2 linked regions of the Xenopus tropicalis genome follow. The protein of the gene in region 1 purifies or fractionates together with the protein of each later gene. This does not show direct contact. Links are inferred from orthologs where the notes say so. Each region holds a gene or a part of one and is shown on either strand. Other genes may lie near its edges.

Region 1 (8,051 bases):
ATCTAATAACAAAATACCCCTTTTTTATTTTAGGTTAAACAAAGCACTTTCAATATTCAGAATAAAGCAATGTCCCTTTAGCAGCTTTAAGACAACTCCTTGATAATATGTATTACACACTTTTTTTCAATAATTATATAGGCGCACTAGTTGTCTTCCCTTCATCTGCATGATTTTATTTTACTGGCAGCCCTTTACTACTCACCAAGCTGATGGTAGTTTGAAAGACCAAAGCCATATACATGGCCTTCTTGGGACACTGCAAAGGTGAAGTATGCTCCACAAAACACATCCTGGAAATGCACACGTCCACTTCCCTTTGCCTTCAAGTGGATACATTGTGGAACCAACAATCTTTCTGAAGAGGGGGGGAAAAAAAAATTACATTTACTTTGCTAAATTACTACAAGTAAACACATAAAGATGCATGAATAGCCGAGAGATCAAGGCATTAATGGAGGATATTCTAACCTGTCTATCTGCACCCATTAGTTACCATATTGCAAACAAGTTGATATCTAAACAGAGGATATAAAACTAACCCACATTAGGTCATGCCAGGGATTTCCCCCCCCCCCCTAACAAACCAGCTTTTAAATATTTAATCTTGATTTTCCATTCAGAGACCACATAAGTGACTGGCGTATTACTGTTAGTAGTGCAATAGGTCTGAAGCATTAGTTAAAGGACAAGGAAAGGCAAAGTCACTTGGGGTGCCAAAATGTTAGGCACCCCCAAGTGACTTGAATCGCTTACCTTTTACCCCGGGCTGGTGCCCCTGTTCGGAGAGAACAGCACCAGCCCAGGGTAGCTGCAGCGCTTCCTCCTTCCTGTGCGCGCGCAGTAGAGTGAAAAAACCAAACTTTAACAGAGAAGTAGGCTTTTCACTCTACTGCGCATGCGCCAGTCGTGGGGTCCCGGCAGAACGAAGGAGGAAGCACTTGCTACAGGTACCCTGGGCTGGTGCTGTTTTCTCCTAACAGGGGCACCAGACCGGGGTACAAGGTAAGCGATTAAAGTCACTTGGGGGTGCCTAACATTTTGGCACACCCAAGTGACTTAGCCTTTCCTTGTCCTTTAAGACAGTACAGTCCAACTTCTGTGGTACCAAGGGCCAGAATTTTTCTGGCCTACATGGCAGCTAAAGAAAGCCAGTTTTGACCACTCCCCTTTTTTAAACATTTAAAACAAACTGCCAGATTGTTATATCTGTGCAGTAGATTTGTAAGCACAACTGCTACAGAGGAGTGTATTTTCTATTTCTGTTCTCCAGTTAGAGTTAATCCAAAGGTCCTAAAATTTATGTGCAAACCATAAGAGAAACCAGACCATAGGAAATTAAAAAGATGTCCTCATAAGAAATGTCTACAACAGATGTAATTTGTCCTTATGATTATACACTGGTTTAAATGAATTTGGTCTACAGGCCAGGAAGAACATGGTCACCCAACCTAGTCCTTTGCGCCCTCCACGATTGGTGAATCTTTCTGGAACTCGGCCCAGCTGACCCTGCTCTCCGCATCCCGATGTGTATAGGTCACCATCCACCGTAAGCAAGACAAGATGATCATTACCTGCCATGGTAAATAGAAAAAAAAATTGAGAAAGACAACTATAGAATTTTTAAGCGATACTGACACCTTAAAATTAAACGGTTTTAAAATATATTATTACACTCTTTGCATGGGAAAGGGAGAGTCAGGTTGGCAACAGTAAGATTTAAGAACTTCAAGTAACAATTACTTACAAAAGCAGAACTATCAGCGAAAAATGATCAACATGACCTATAGGTAACTTTTAAATGTACATTAATATTTTGAAAAGTAAAGTGATACTGACAAGAAAAAAAACTAAAGTCATTTTTGCATGCTTGGATTCTCCCTTACCAGAGGCTATTTTAATGACTGGTGCATTTATCTGCATTTGAACAGGCACCATGCTTTTCTTCATAGGTTCCAGTAAACCAATAACACCATTATTATCCTACAAAAGAAAAGAAAAATATTGCAGTAGGTCCTATAGAGCAAGGAATTCTTCCACAATAGAAGCAGTGTTCTTGGTTCAACAATGTGTTCACATTGTCTCAGGGAAGCCCTCAATAAGTCCTTTAATTCCTGCTAAAACCTTGCATATAGTAACAGAGGTGCTAGCAACTTTTCAATTTACTTTTAACAACTTTGTGACCTTTACAAATAACAAAGACAAGGTTTAGGAATGTAATTCTATAAAAAGTGATTAGGTTTTTGAAAATATTTAATCAGCTAATGAACAGTCTTACTAATAACCGTATTCTACTATGGTTCACTATGTCCTCAGAGCTAGTTAGGTTAGTAACAAAATGCCTGACCTAACCATTACTTGGACATGTCAATACATTGTAATTTAAATGTTATAATATTTAATGTTAAACATAATTAATATATAATAATATATACTTAATACAAAGCTGTAAACATTTGATATTACAATAAAAGTGGAACAAATTCCCAGTGTCACCTTCCTTACCAACAGCTCTTACTACTTTATGAGAAACAAAACATAGTATTGCTACAGTGGATATAGTTGGCAGTATATGGTATACTGGAAGATGTTGAGTGCCACTTTGACAAAATTCACCAAAATATTCTAGTACCCTGAATGATCCGAAGACGAACACTCTGCCATCTTCTGTCAGAGCAGCAGTGTGACTGTCTCCTGCAGACACCTGCACCACCTTTTCTACAAGATCCACCTTGCCAGGCTGTGTTTCCGATCCCTCCTCCGAAGTGTCACGACCAAGGGCACCCTCATCATTGCATCCAAATGTATAAATCTGACGGGGAAAAAAGGGTAAGTGAACAAGATAGAGCATCAAGTATACACATTCTTTGTTTAAAAATACTCACACTTCCAGATGCTCCAAGGCACACAGTGTGCATCCCCCCAGCTGCTGCTTGTACGATGTCCTCAGGAAGGGTAACCAGAGCAGGTTTTTTCCTCTCCATCACATCTTCTCCAAGCCCTAGCTGCCCAACATCACCCTGTCCAAGGGTTAATACCTGCCCCCCAACTGTGCCATATGAAGAATGGTTGACTATTGGGAAAAATATAAAAAGAAACGCTGTACTTCAACCAGTTAACAGATTGCTTTCACGCAAGTGGGAGACTTGCAAATACAAATATTACCATATATTTTCCTATCTAAAACAAATACACTTAACCAATTACGGGGAATCCCCCTGAGAAGGGATGCTGGCACTATATGTATTTAGACATATGAGGACGCATTTATTAAAAGGCAAACTGTTTAAAAAAAAATAACCCAAAGCTTATACAAGTACAAATAAATTTAATGTAGGAAAATTTTAAAAGAATTTTGTGGACAATGGTCTTTTCATTCTAAGATTTGTATATGCAAACTATGGTTTGGACTCTTCTTGCATTAGGCCAAATTCCCAAGGTATCATTGATAAATGAAAAAATGCAATTTGGCACTTTCCTAAATTTGCAAGAGCTGTACAAACTACTGTTAAAACTAAAAACAGAAACCCATATTCTTACATGTAAACACAATTGGCCAACGGATGACTAACCTTTAGTTTTCTTAACAACTGATGTTCCATTGCTTTCTTCAGCCACAATAGCTCTCTTCAAAGCCTTTTTGCCTTTCATAGTGAAGTCTTGAAAAGAGACAGTAATATCAGTAAGCATAAGCATTAGTCTTTTCTCCGACTGTATGTGATCACATTTAGAAAAACTGAATGCCGCCTGTGACTTCAAGAACCAACCTGTTGTTTATAATCAAAGTTAATAGGATTAGCAATGTATTCCTTATGGCAGTAATCTAAAATAAAGTCTACTCCCCATTCAGCCTCTTCAAGGGGTCCAAATAATTATTGGAATATCACAAGTTGATGAGGCCCAAATAATAATTTGAACATTAAATAAAAAGTGGAAAAGCATGCATATTAATATCCAATAAATATGCTTAAGGCATGAGTAGATATGCCATTTAGTGTTTGCCCAGAATGTTTTCGGTAACACATACTATTATATAATATAGAAAGGCATTTCATTTATACATTTAGCTGACAACAGGCACATGACAACACACAACATGATCCTTAAATTAGGGTAAACTTCCTGTCTGAACATAAACTTATCAAAGGCTTAAAAATTGTAGCAGCACTGTATAAAATATTTATTGGGGAAAGCAATAACAGCTCCGCTTCATGTTCTTACTGATGGCGCCTACTCACCCAGATAAATGAAAGAGAAAACACTACACTCAGTACCTAATCTTAAAAACGACTAACCTCCTCATACTAACTTGTCTAAACAGTAAAAAAAGGTCCAGATACACCCAGTAATCGCTCTAAAGCAAGTCTCAACACCTGCTAACATTGTCAAGCAATGATAAAGTACATTCAGCTTCTATTATAAATATCTCACATATGTAGATGTCAGCGGGTTATGCAAACGCTAGTAAGACATTCAGCTAAACCAGATACATGTAGTTTGTCCTATCCGGGAAGGATTTCTAGCAATATACACTATCGGTATCGGCTTATAGCTATAAGTTCCAGCGCTGTGCCGCTGAAGCCCCCACAACCTCACCTGTGCTCCAAGATTACAAAATTAACCGCGCTCAGCTCCTTTAAGCAACTTCTTCACACGTGCGGCGCATCCGTGACGTCAGTACCAAGCGACGCCGGAAAGTACAGTGGAAGGGCGGCTGTAAGCCACGCCCCTTTGTCTGCACGAAATGGGCGTTTCCGTGGTTAGAACTCAATAAAAAAACCCGAAAGTAACGGACCTTGAATAAATTTATTCGGCAGTGGCAGAGTATCGCCAGTCCCCAAACCAGTGTTATGTGAAAAGCCACAGGTTTTATTAGTCAATTAAAACTGAGTAGACCACAAATCTTAAATACTAGTAGCATAGGCGACGGATATGAATGCTTAAAGTTCGAATACCAGGGAAATCTCTTATACTGTTTCAATCCCCTCCAAGTCGCTTGCTTCAAACACAATTTAGGGATGTAATTACATGCCCGTGTACCTACTAGGTGCCTACTCCTATGTGAAGGAAACAGGAAATCTTGCTATACTTTTGTTTTGCTTTCCCAGGCAGTGACCATGTGATTTATGATTTAGGTTTGAAAAATTGTGTTTTTTATGACACCTCCCCATTACTGTATTTTACTTCATTTTGCACCACTTGTAATCTTGCACGGTTATTAATGCTAATGGGCAAATTTCATTACAATTCTTGTTCTTGAAATTTTATGTGGTCATCTAAAATAAATACATAGCTTGATAAATATGTTTATTTACACAGTGATGCCTTGCAATCACATTGTTAGTTTAATGTAAGTGAGCACCTTTTTTTAAACAGTATGATAAACAGGCCCCTATATCCCCTCCATCTTAAAGGAGACATATCCTATAAAAATTATGAATGTACCAGTGAATTAAACTCCTCTAGATATAGAAGGATTGTGCTTTAAAAAGTTGTGTTTCCTGCTGATTTATTGAGAAATTCCACAAAAACACCCCTAGAGCCCCGCCCATCTGTTCCACTTCCTGCTGGCTGAATTCTCTGGATGAGCTGGGGGGCCGGTGGCTCTCCGTACCCTGCACTGTAGGATAGGAACCAATCAGCAGCTAGGCTGCCCTGATAGGGAACTGAAGCCTGTCTTTGCTTGTGTGACTGCAGGGCTGTGATTGGCTCTCCCCCTCCTACTGTGCTTCTGGCAGGGACCATTAGGACACGCCCACTCTCCATTTCAAACGCCGACAGAGAAGTGATAGGATCTATAGGGAGCTCCAATAAAGGGGCCATTGTTACAGATAGGATTAATGTTTAGCCCAAAGGGAAACCAGCACCGTATATTATACATAATTGCCTACAGGGTTAGGGGTTTTCCCATTTATCCAATATTTCTCCTTTAAGAGACCCATACTACAGTACGACACTTTAAAACAAAACTTCAAAGAGCCTGGCCTTATCAAATGGACACTTCACAAGTCTCTATGGAATATTCATGGTGCACATTTGCTACCAAGTTGCTGGGTTCAGGAAATGCAAGAGATACTTATGTTTTCCTTATTACATTTTCTGTTATCCAGAACTTGTAAACAACATAAAAATGACAACATGAAAACAATTTGATGGAGCTGTCATATTTGAATTCCTATTCTTTTATTAAAAGCTTGCACTATTACTCTGTTAGCTGATAAATAATATCATGTTACCACAAAAAAAATCAATTTTCCTTTCTAAACATGGTACATCATTGTGATAAACCTGGAGAGGATCTTTATTCTTTTGAAAGGAAGAGAAAAAAAATCTCTTAAGTAACCGCAGATGTAGTATTATATAGGATTAGCAAAACAATTAAATCACAACCATGAAGGTTAAAGACCAGGATGGGGATTGGCACAAAGCACACAGTCCAGTAATTGAGTTTATATTTAACGTTTTGTAATTCTTCAGATAACTGGCACATAAATATATATATATATATATATATATATATATATATATATATATATATTTGCACAAACAGTTGTCTATACAAGGTAATGAGTCTATTGAGAAAAAGGTACATTCTTCCAAAAAAATGCCTTTTAGCAATAAGTGAGTTGCGAATTTTCTGGCCAGTGCCAACCCTAACCTGCAAGTTTCTCAACCCATCCCAAGGTTGAGAAGTATTCCTGCACCAAACTGCCTCTCATGGTGCTGTCAGAGACAATGTCAGTGAGGAGCAGGCCGGCACATCACCTATAGCAGCAGGGTTAGTCCACAACTGAAGCATACAATAAAAGTTGTTGCACACTTCAGCTGGGCAACAGCAACACTTGTGACCCCTAGGTTGATGATGTACAAGCTTTACCCTGCACCTGCTTGACCTGTATTGCGCCACTTTGCACTTTACTAATGCTAATACTAATGGCGATCGTAAATGGTGGGAAAACCTTTCTGACTTTGAACTTTCAGTGCATGTTTTTGGAAGCCTCCCATAGGACTCAATGGCACTCTGCAGCTCCAACCTGGCCCATGACAAGTCACGATACCGAAACTTGAATAAATCCGAAACTTCCGTTCTCATTGCGACAAATATGATTTTGTCGCACAAATTGTTGCGCAAATTGTCACAAAGTACAAAGTTGTGCAAATTAACGAAAATATTGCAGAAAATATGCAAAAATGCAATTTTTTTTTGTATTCGGACCTGTCGTACTTTAATGAATTTGCCACCTAGTGTATGGCGTATATTTTCGGCAAGCCAAAAAAACGCTTCCCGAAAATCACGCCACATGCTCCTACCTGTGTCTTCACCCGAATAAAATACGCTTGGGTGCAGGTACATGTAGTTGATATCGAACGAAAATATGAAGTCTCGCGGATTTTGCCGGATATTGGCTACATGTGCCTGCACGCAAGCGTATTCCATTCATTCGGGTGCAGACACAAGGCAGGCTAAATTTACAGTAGCGGGGCTTAGAATACTCCCGTGTGGCATTAGCCTAAAGCTGGCCATACATGTGGTGATCTGACGATGTTTCGTGCGACCATCGGTCGCACGAAACATCGTCAGATCCGCCACACACAGTCAGGGCTGAAACAGCAGATAAGGAGGTAGAAACAATAGGATTTCTACCTCCTTCTGCCGATTCAGCCCTGACGGCAGATTTTGGTCAGGCGCCTTCTATGGCGCCCGATCAAAATTTTCTAACCTGGCCGATCGGCGAGTCGTCCAATATCAGCAGCTTCCTGCGATATCGGTTGACTCGCCGACATGCCATACACGCACCGAATATCGTACGAAACGAGGTTTCGTATGATAGTATCGGTGCGTGTATGGCCAGCTTTAGACAGACTCATTTTGTAAGTATCCTGATAACGTGCTAATACATGCATGCAAGTATAAGGGTGAAGACATGCTACTTGTCACAGGTACTAAATGCCAGAAAACACCCTGCCATAGACAATACTGAGAATTGCTTCTGCTAAAACACTCAGAGACAATATTAGTAAATGATCAGCATTGTCTATTTTTCTAGCCA
Region 2 (8,137 bases), on another chromosome or scaffold:
GATATTAACCCTGTGAGGTCTACAAAATAAAAGTTTTCAGGAACAAAGAAATCTCTCATGTTACGGAGATTCAAGATATCAATATGAACCACTAACAAATTCAGTTTTGCAGAATCTGAACTGGGTGTGCTCAGACCTATTGTTATTTAGTTTGCAGCAGCATTCTTTTGCATGTACAAAAAAAAAAAAAAATAAGATTACTTGGACATATTTGAAGTCATTAGGATCTGTCCCTCATCACAGATGCTAGAGGTTGACTAATAGAGACTATATAGATTCCAGGCATCTTGGGAACATCGAATGAGCCTACATTGTCCTCATTAAATTTTTCTGAAGGCTGAGCTTAAAGGAACAGTAACACCAAAAAATGAAAGTGTATAAAAAGAATATATTATGCACTGTTGCCCTGCACTGGTAAAAGTTGTGTGTTTGCTTTATAAACACTACTATAGTTTATACAAATACCCTGCTGTGTAGCCATGGGGGCAGCCATTTAAATTGAAAAAAGGAGAAAAGGCACAGGTTACTAAGCAGATAACAGATAAGTAGCAGATTCCCATTGTATTCTACACAGTTATCTGTTATCTTCTTATGTAACCTGTGCCTTTTCTTCTTTTTTCAATTTAAATGGCTGCCCCCATGGCTACACAACAGCTATTTCTATTAACTACAGTAGTCTTTCTGAAGCAAACACACAACTTTTACCAGTGCAGGGCAACAGTACATTATATTTTAATTATTTTAAAACATTTTTATTTTTTAGTGTTACCGTTCCTTTAATTTTATGCCTTATGTGTTTATAATAATCCATAGGCATTACAAATCACTAACATGGATGACAAAATATGTTCTGGTCTTACTTTCTGCATTTAAAAATCGAATAGCCAGTAGTTCAGGCTTTGGTGCTTCATCTGCAAAATCAGCGTATGTGTTCCAAACCCATGCTCTGTCACTTCCAGCATTAGGCTTCAGTTCCATTGCAGGGGTAACTACAAAAAGAGAGAGAGGAAATGTAAATGTGTTATGAGCACAAGTCAACTAATCTCTGCCACATGCTGGTAACAAGGATAAATATAATTGTCTAGGTGCAAGCGACCCTGACAAAGCATGTGTAGACAACATGTGCCTCATATTCAGTGTATCAGTGGACAGGCCTTTTTGACTGCACAAGCCAACGAATGACACTTCAATCTTACATGTAGAGCCCCATATCCAGCACTGGTATTTGTACACAGAGTACCAAGGAGTTAAGTACCATACCTTCTATGCGCTACACCAGCAGATATCAATGTGGCTGAAGACCTACAGATTCGTTCAATAGAACTTTAAATCTTTATAAAATAGTATTTAAGCCACAAAGCTCAGTAAGCAGCAGGCTAATAGTGTCCGTGTCCGATGCTGTCAGACAACCACACATACAAAAGCCATAATCATGCAAATTATATCTTTATAAAATATATTTATTATAGTTGCTTAATCTGTCACTCAAGTTGTAAAATGTACATTGTACTTTGATGCGCTCACCTAAAACCCTATCTCACTTACATGAAAAAGCACTCATGACTACAATCTTGTGCCTTTAAAAGGATCTAAAGGCAAAAAATTATGATCGGTTAGTGCCATTCATATGCCTTAGGGATCTGTTTTACAGTATAAACTTATTTAAAATTCTCTACTGTTTTCATACACAAAGTGCTGAAATTTAATTTCCTTCCCTGGCTTCCACTCGCACACATTTCAACTTAACTTAGACACCAGCCTTCTATCTTTTGTTCCTAGCCACCAGTGAGAATAGAAGAAAGGCACACCTGCACTACTACTCTTATTTGTGGATGGGAAGAGCAGGAGACAGACCACCAGCAGATGTTTTCAGTCCAGTAAGAATGTGCGCAGAGCTGAATTTCTGGCATATGACATTCCATTGAACATCAACCCTTTATGTAAATTTGTTCTTTATCTTTACAATATCATAAATCTATAGCAAAGGTGGGCAATATAATTTAATACACCTTAAGCTTATTATATGCCAAGAGAAGTATGGCGAAATGCTGGACTGCTATTGGAGACCTGAACCCAAAATACATTTAAGAATTCAATCTTTTCCATCAGCAATTCCTGTTACCAGTGTTTAACTAATTTTTTTTTACTCCAACTTGTTAAGAGTCAAGATACCACAAACTGTGTAAGTTCACATTCATAGAGAGGAGCCTGTCCACATCAAAACAAAGATAAACTGCAAGTTTATGCAGGATATCGCTGTCTACATCATACCTAAGGTTTATTTAAAGGGAAGGTATTTGACATGTCTAAAAAAGGAAGATATAAAACCACCTTAGTCTAAAAGTGAGCTAGTTCAAAAGCAAATATCCAACTGTGCTGGAGCCTTAATATTAATATTTTAATTAATCTACTAACCACCTGTCTCAAACTGTTTGGCTAACGACATTAATAAAAAAGGAATGTATTTTTTTACCTTTGTTTTGTTTTTGCTAGTTTCCATAATGCAGTTACTTTCTCGGGTTGCAGTTTATGCCTTGCATTAATCTCAATTCATGCATTCAATAGCTACTCAAACATATGCACCTCACATGAAGCCAGAAGTAAAAGCAATGGGCAACCGTCTTGGTCTGAGTCATATAGCATCACCAAGAATCATTTCCTTTGGCTTTTGTGTATTTTAACTTTAAAGACATTTCAATCTAGTTGCCATGAATCTTGAACTGATTTACATCTGTTCTTGTTTTTTTTAATCAAAGAACTAGCCAATAACTTATGAAACTCCCATTTACTTACTGTAATGATTTGCACATATCTTAAGAGTCTTGTCTCTCCTCATTAAGAGACGAATTGTTCCCTTCTCCTTGTGTTTCAGCAGTTTAACATCGCCTGTGCCCCTTTCTTTCCATTCTGGTGGGTCATTTTCTGACGCAAATCGGAACAACTTTGCGCGCCTATGGAAGGAATTACACGTTACATCTAAAACATGTGGCAAATATAGCTAGACTGTAGAAGCGTTCTGGAATGTAAGCTCAAGAGTAAATTCAGTGTTTTCATGTTAAGTGCATGATGGGTTCAAAGGTTTCATTCATCCACCTCTACAGAAGTACTGTCACATAGCAAGAATCAAGTTTCATTAAAGGAAAATAATATTTTAAGAATTTAACTATATGCTGCCCTGACACCCATTAAGTATTGGGGAGTTTATGTACTACTAATTCTAAATGAGTCAATTAAAACAAAGCGTTACAGCAAAACTAAACTAATGGTTTCATGTGAAATACAATTGTTTCATGCTGCTCAGCTGAATTATCAAGTGATCATATGTCTTGTAACCAACAAGAACTCTTACAGAATATTGTATAAGACAGAAAGGCAAAGATACACTTACATTTTAAATAGTTCTTCTTCATCTTCTTCAAGTGTCTTAATCTCTTGCTCTGGCAGTGAAACTATTGGTTCAAAATGAGGGTCATGATTTGTATCTTCTGTGTTTTCAACAGAGGTTTCATGCTCTTCTTGCGTATCCTAAGAAAAACAAAATAACTATAAAGCAAATTACAAGCAATTCCCTAAAGTGCTGTTGGTAGATTAGCAGTCAAGTGAAGCCACACAAGGCTGCTTCTAGCTTTTTAAAACAACTCAAAGTGGAAGCCAATGACATCGAAAAAATTAAACTGGCGATAACCTAAACTACAGTAAGGCCTAATGTCAAGGAAATATGTTGCCTATGAAAGCTGCACCAAGTCTCAGGAACTGCCTATTCAGACATTCTGTGTAAAGGTGGCCATACACGCACCGATATTATCGTACGAAACCTCGTTTCGTACGATAATCGGTGCGTGTATGGCATGTCGGCGAGTCGACCGATATCGCAGGAAGCTGCTGATATCGGACGACTCGCCGATCGGACAAGTTTGAAAATTTTGATCGGGCGCCATAGAAGGCGCCTGACCAAAATTCTCCCTTCAGAGCTGAATCGGCAGAAGGAGGTAGAAATCCTATTGTTTCTACCTCCTTACCTGCCGATTCAGCCCTGAATGGTGTGTGGCGGATCTTACGATGTTTCGTGCGACCGATGGTCGTACGAAACATCGTCGGATCGCCACGTGTATGGCCACCTTAAGAGGTGAAAGGACTGCTATGGGCCTGGACCATTCTGTTAGTCAGATTCTGGCAGCACTCAAATCTAGTTATATAAAAACTGTAAGGCGACTAATTGAAATCTGAGTCATGTAGCTTCTCTGGGGAGGCTAAACTTGCAGCCTTTGCAAGAGAGCAAACTATTTGTAATTAGGCCAGAATGCAGTAAGCCACATATAGCCCCCACCTTCACATGGGCCCCCCAAATGTAAATGTGGTGTAGGGAATGATTGGGAGACCACATAAAGACATGACATCAGTCTTCTCTGGCTGCACCCCATACTTACTGACTCTGATTCATTAATATCTATCATTTTGAACTTTATTTGGCTACCTGCACAGGTAACAACAACAGATTACAGTTCAGCTGCCCAAGGCACCAAAGTATAGAAGTGCCACTTTCCTACAGTGCCATGGGGGGGGGGCGGGAATACGCTATGCCCAGGTATGTGCAACTGCCCCTGTAGCAATGAGAAGACTAGTGCAATGACAGTCCCGGGGGGGGGGGGGGGCTTTAGCTGTACTACATTAGGGGTGCCGATGCTGTAGGCCTGCGCATTACTATATGCACTAGCGGCTACACGTGTACTGAGCACTGCGGGCTGCTGCCCCATAGGATGGGCAAGTCTCTGCCTCACTAGGACTCTCCATTCCCTGCTGCCGGGAGGCTCCCCGGGGTGCGGAGCATTGCGGGAAAGAGCCGCACAAATCACACATGCCGTACAGTTAGACTGCAGGTAACTTTTCCTCCGGCCCAACCCTCGCTTTGTTCGCACACTCCATTCACTCACTCAACTTTGCCGGTTCGCAACACCTTATGCTTCGTTACCCCGCCCAGGTCTTGCAGTACTACACGCTAGGCACCCCTCCACCCGGCCCGCCAACACAAATCACTCTGTCCCGTTTACAAACCAGCGCAAAAGCATCCTGGAAAAAGCGGTGAGTCAGGGGGAAGTGGATATTACTAGCCATACCTTGGTATCGGCCATCGGGCAGAGGATGGAGGCAGATTGCGCGGGTGGGTCTCCTGTTTCTTCAATGCCGCTGTCTGTTCCGCAGGTTTCGCGCTGTTTTTTTTCCTCCCACCCTCTCTTCCTGCACAATGCCGTGCGTGCCTCAAGCGCCTTCTGCACTATACGCCACTTCACGACACTACGCGCCCTCCTCCAAGATGGCGTCTCGTGATTTTCTCCTCCCCCAACGTCACATCCGCTAACCTCTTCAATTCTACGGAACCCTAGTAAAATTAAAAAGACAAAAAACACTTACATTGCTGATACAATGCTATTCGCTGGTTTCTTGTCTCACTATGCGTCACCCATTTCAGTACTGCAGTATCGGGGCACAACGAAACTTACAATGAATGACAGAATAATGACTGCAGCCACCTAAGCACTTCCGGGAGTTTGCGGCATGGCGGATGCCAGTTTCCGTTTACGTCACCAGCATGGCAGCTCCTGTGTAAGTGCTGCGTGCTAGAGTCTTATTGCGCGATATGTATTCCTGTTCTTGCTATAGATAAAGCCGGGATCTAAATGCTGATGTAGTAATATACAACTTTTTATTTCCATTGAGAATACGATGTCGTGGTACTAAAATGGATGATGGCTTTGAACTAAGCCCTTTACTGCCTTCCGTCATTTCCATTCCATAGGAATGTGGTTGTGTTTTCTTATATGCATGTACAATATGCAGTTTTGCAATAACTGTATTCCTTCCAACAGTCTTTGTCTATGTGCTCGGTCGGGGGATGTTAAACATGATGTTCCAATGGGTATCTCCACCTACATGCTGTTTTCCCCCTCAAGTAAAGAAAATGTTATCCTATAAAACTTTCCCACATACGGCTTAATGAGATGTTTTCTGTGGGTTTGTTTTATTACAATTGAAAACCGTATTCGTTTTTATATGTGTGTGTTATTTAATCTTGAAGCAGTGTATCACTAGTCAGCTCTCCCCAAGTCTGTTATTCAGTTGGCTTCTGCATAAAACCATCAATATGTTTGAGCACATGATTAGTAAATCATAAACATGATTATGTCCCTTTAGTGAATGGCACATATGAAAAACATGATTTAGGACTGGACAGGTTTTAAGGCATATTTTTTGATTACATTTATATTCTTGTACTTATAGGATGTTTGATTGCTCAGAGGGCACATCTGAGCAATATACAATTTTTGCCCAATGTTCAAGCTATTAGGGGAAAAGGAAAATGTTATAGTGCTAATATAGTGAAATTGAAACAACACCTGCTGGTCACTTCTTCTGACTGTGATACAGTTGAGAGAAAGGTTTAGAAACAAGGAACATTTCATGATCTTAATCTGCTTAGGAAACAGGAGAAACCTTAGATGACTTTTCTCAGTAGAATCTTTCCTAAGTAGCCATACAAAAACCAGCTATACTCGTAAACCAGGACCATCCATCAGAGTCAGTTAAAATCCAATTTTATTGGCTGATTTAAGAGAACAAAGCCTAACACGTTTCATGCGCAGGCACACTTAATCATAGGTAGAGCAGCATCAGAAAAATTCTCCCAACTGTATCGCTGTAGGAATTACTGACCAGCAGGCGGCAGTGTTGTTTTATTAATGTAGCAGTGACATTTTGCTAATATCTTAAAAATTACAAACATGCTTAGAAGAGCACTCTGATTAATATTAAATTAAGTTGCATTAAAGGTTTACATTTCCTTTGTTTTTTGTAGTTTTAAAAATATTTATATTTTTTTGTAAAACTCAGGAATATAAACTGCATTCTGATTTAATCACTGGGGTGTCAAGCTAGGCACCCCACAGTGATTCTGATTGCTTACTTCAGACCCCGGGCTCCCGCTTCTCCTCTCCCAAAAATTCACCAGCCTTGGGGTGCTCTTCTCAACAAATTGCCACCATACTCTTCTGGTACCCAGGGTTGGCATAAAGGGGCGAGGTAGAGTGCTTTGATAACATGGAAAGAGCAAGTGAGTTAGACACCCACCAGTAGGACTCATTTGATGTAGTGTAATGGTGTTGGTTCTTGATATGTCCTGAGAGGAACTAATACATTTGGCTTTACCCTAGTAAGACAAGATATATACTACTTTATAATAGCTATCATAAATGATACACTCAAGCTAGTAAATGTTAACTTTTTCAGTTCTGATTTGAAGATGGAAACCTGCGCGAATGAAAACATCTGCATCTCTGAAGAAATAAGTCAAGAAGGTTCCCCAGCAGAGGAAGATGGAAGCAATGAAATGGCAAAATCTTCTGCTGAGTCCTGTCCAGACAGCAAGAATAAAGCAGGGATTTATAGATACATCAAAGACGATCTCTTCACTTCAGAGATTTTCAAAGTAGAAATACAAAACTTGCCAAAATACATATGCTTTAATGACTTAAAAAAATTCCTTGGCAAGTATGGGCTAAATCCTCATAAGATTAAACTCATGAATAAACAAACTTTTGCATTTGTGACTTTTAAAAGTGAAGAAGAGCGTGACAAAGCTATGAAAGTCATACATGGGGTGAAGTGGAAGAACCGTACACTTAGTGTTCGACTTGCAAAGCCCAGGGCTGACCCCATAATGCAAAAAAGAAAGCAGGAAGAAGGAGATGGTGAACAGCCAGAAAGCAAGCGTCAGGCTGCACACAATGATGCAGAGGAGGAGCCCCTCAGTAAAACGATCTCGGATGTAGTGACTCCTTTGTGGCAAGTTCCATATGAAGAACAGCTGAAAATTAAGGAGGAAGAATGTTGCAAAGTATTGAAGCAGTTAACAAAGTAATGTATCAGTATTTTTGTTACATAGTTAAGTTGGGTTAAAAAAAGGCCATCAAGTTCAACTCTTTCAAGTGAACCTGGCACACACATAAACCTATACTGACCTATTCATACAGCAGGGCACCTACAGTGCAAGGTTTGTGCTCCATAATACCTAAGCATGTAACCATAGAAACCACTAAACACATTTTCACATTGATGACCAATAATAACACTTTTCGCATAGCTG

What was found. The genes of interacting proteins can lie anywhere in the genome.
Region 2: the proteins of rcc1 (region 1) and ranbp1 purify together in Homo sapiens (affinity purification with mass spectrometry; 3 studies listed by BioGRID and IntAct, counting the BioPlex papers as one, with this or other methods). This does not show direct contact. The link is inferred for Xenopus tropicalis from reciprocal best matches to the Homo sapiens genes RCC1 and RANBP1.

The regions. Positions count from the first base shown.
Region 1 is NC_030678.2:78,657,108-78,665,158, forward strand, and holds the start of rcc1 (regulator of chromosome condensation), read right to left. Parts: upstream 4,672-8,051; 5' UTR 4,597-4,671; exon of another isoform or gene 4,432-4,596; intron 3,660-4,431; 5' UTR 3,652-3,659; coding exon 3,573-3,651; intron 3,074-3,572; coding exon 2,886-3,073; intron 2,813-2,885; coding exon 2,633-2,812; intron 1,984-2,632; coding exon 1,887-1,983; intron 1,575-1,886; coding exon 1,452-1,574; intron 359-1,451; coding exon 206-358; intron 1-205. UniProt on the Homo sapiens protein: Guanine-nucleotide releasing factor that promotes the exchange of Ran-bound GDP by GTP, and thereby plays an important role in RAN-mediated functions in nuclear import and mitosis.
Region 2 is NC_030677.2:155,373,164-155,381,300, reverse strand, and holds the start of ranbp1 (ran-specific GTPase-activating protein), read right to left. Parts: upstream 5,554-8,137; 5' UTR 5,499-5,553; intron 5,378-5,498; 5' UTR 5,130-5,377; coding exon 5,115-5,129; intron 4,878-5,114; exon of another isoform or gene 4,676-4,877; intron 3,526-4,675; coding exon 3,389-3,525; intron 2,952-3,388; coding exon 2,794-2,951; intron 990-2,793; coding exon 861-989; intron 1-860. Other genes in the region: trmt2a (tRNA (uracil-5-)-methyltransferase homolog A), read left to right, coding at 5,554-5,601, 7,295-7,908. UniProt on the Homo sapiens protein: Plays a role in RAN-dependent nucleocytoplasmic transport. Alleviates the TNPO1-dependent inhibition of RAN GTPase activity and mediates the dissociation of RAN from proteins involved in transport into the nucleus.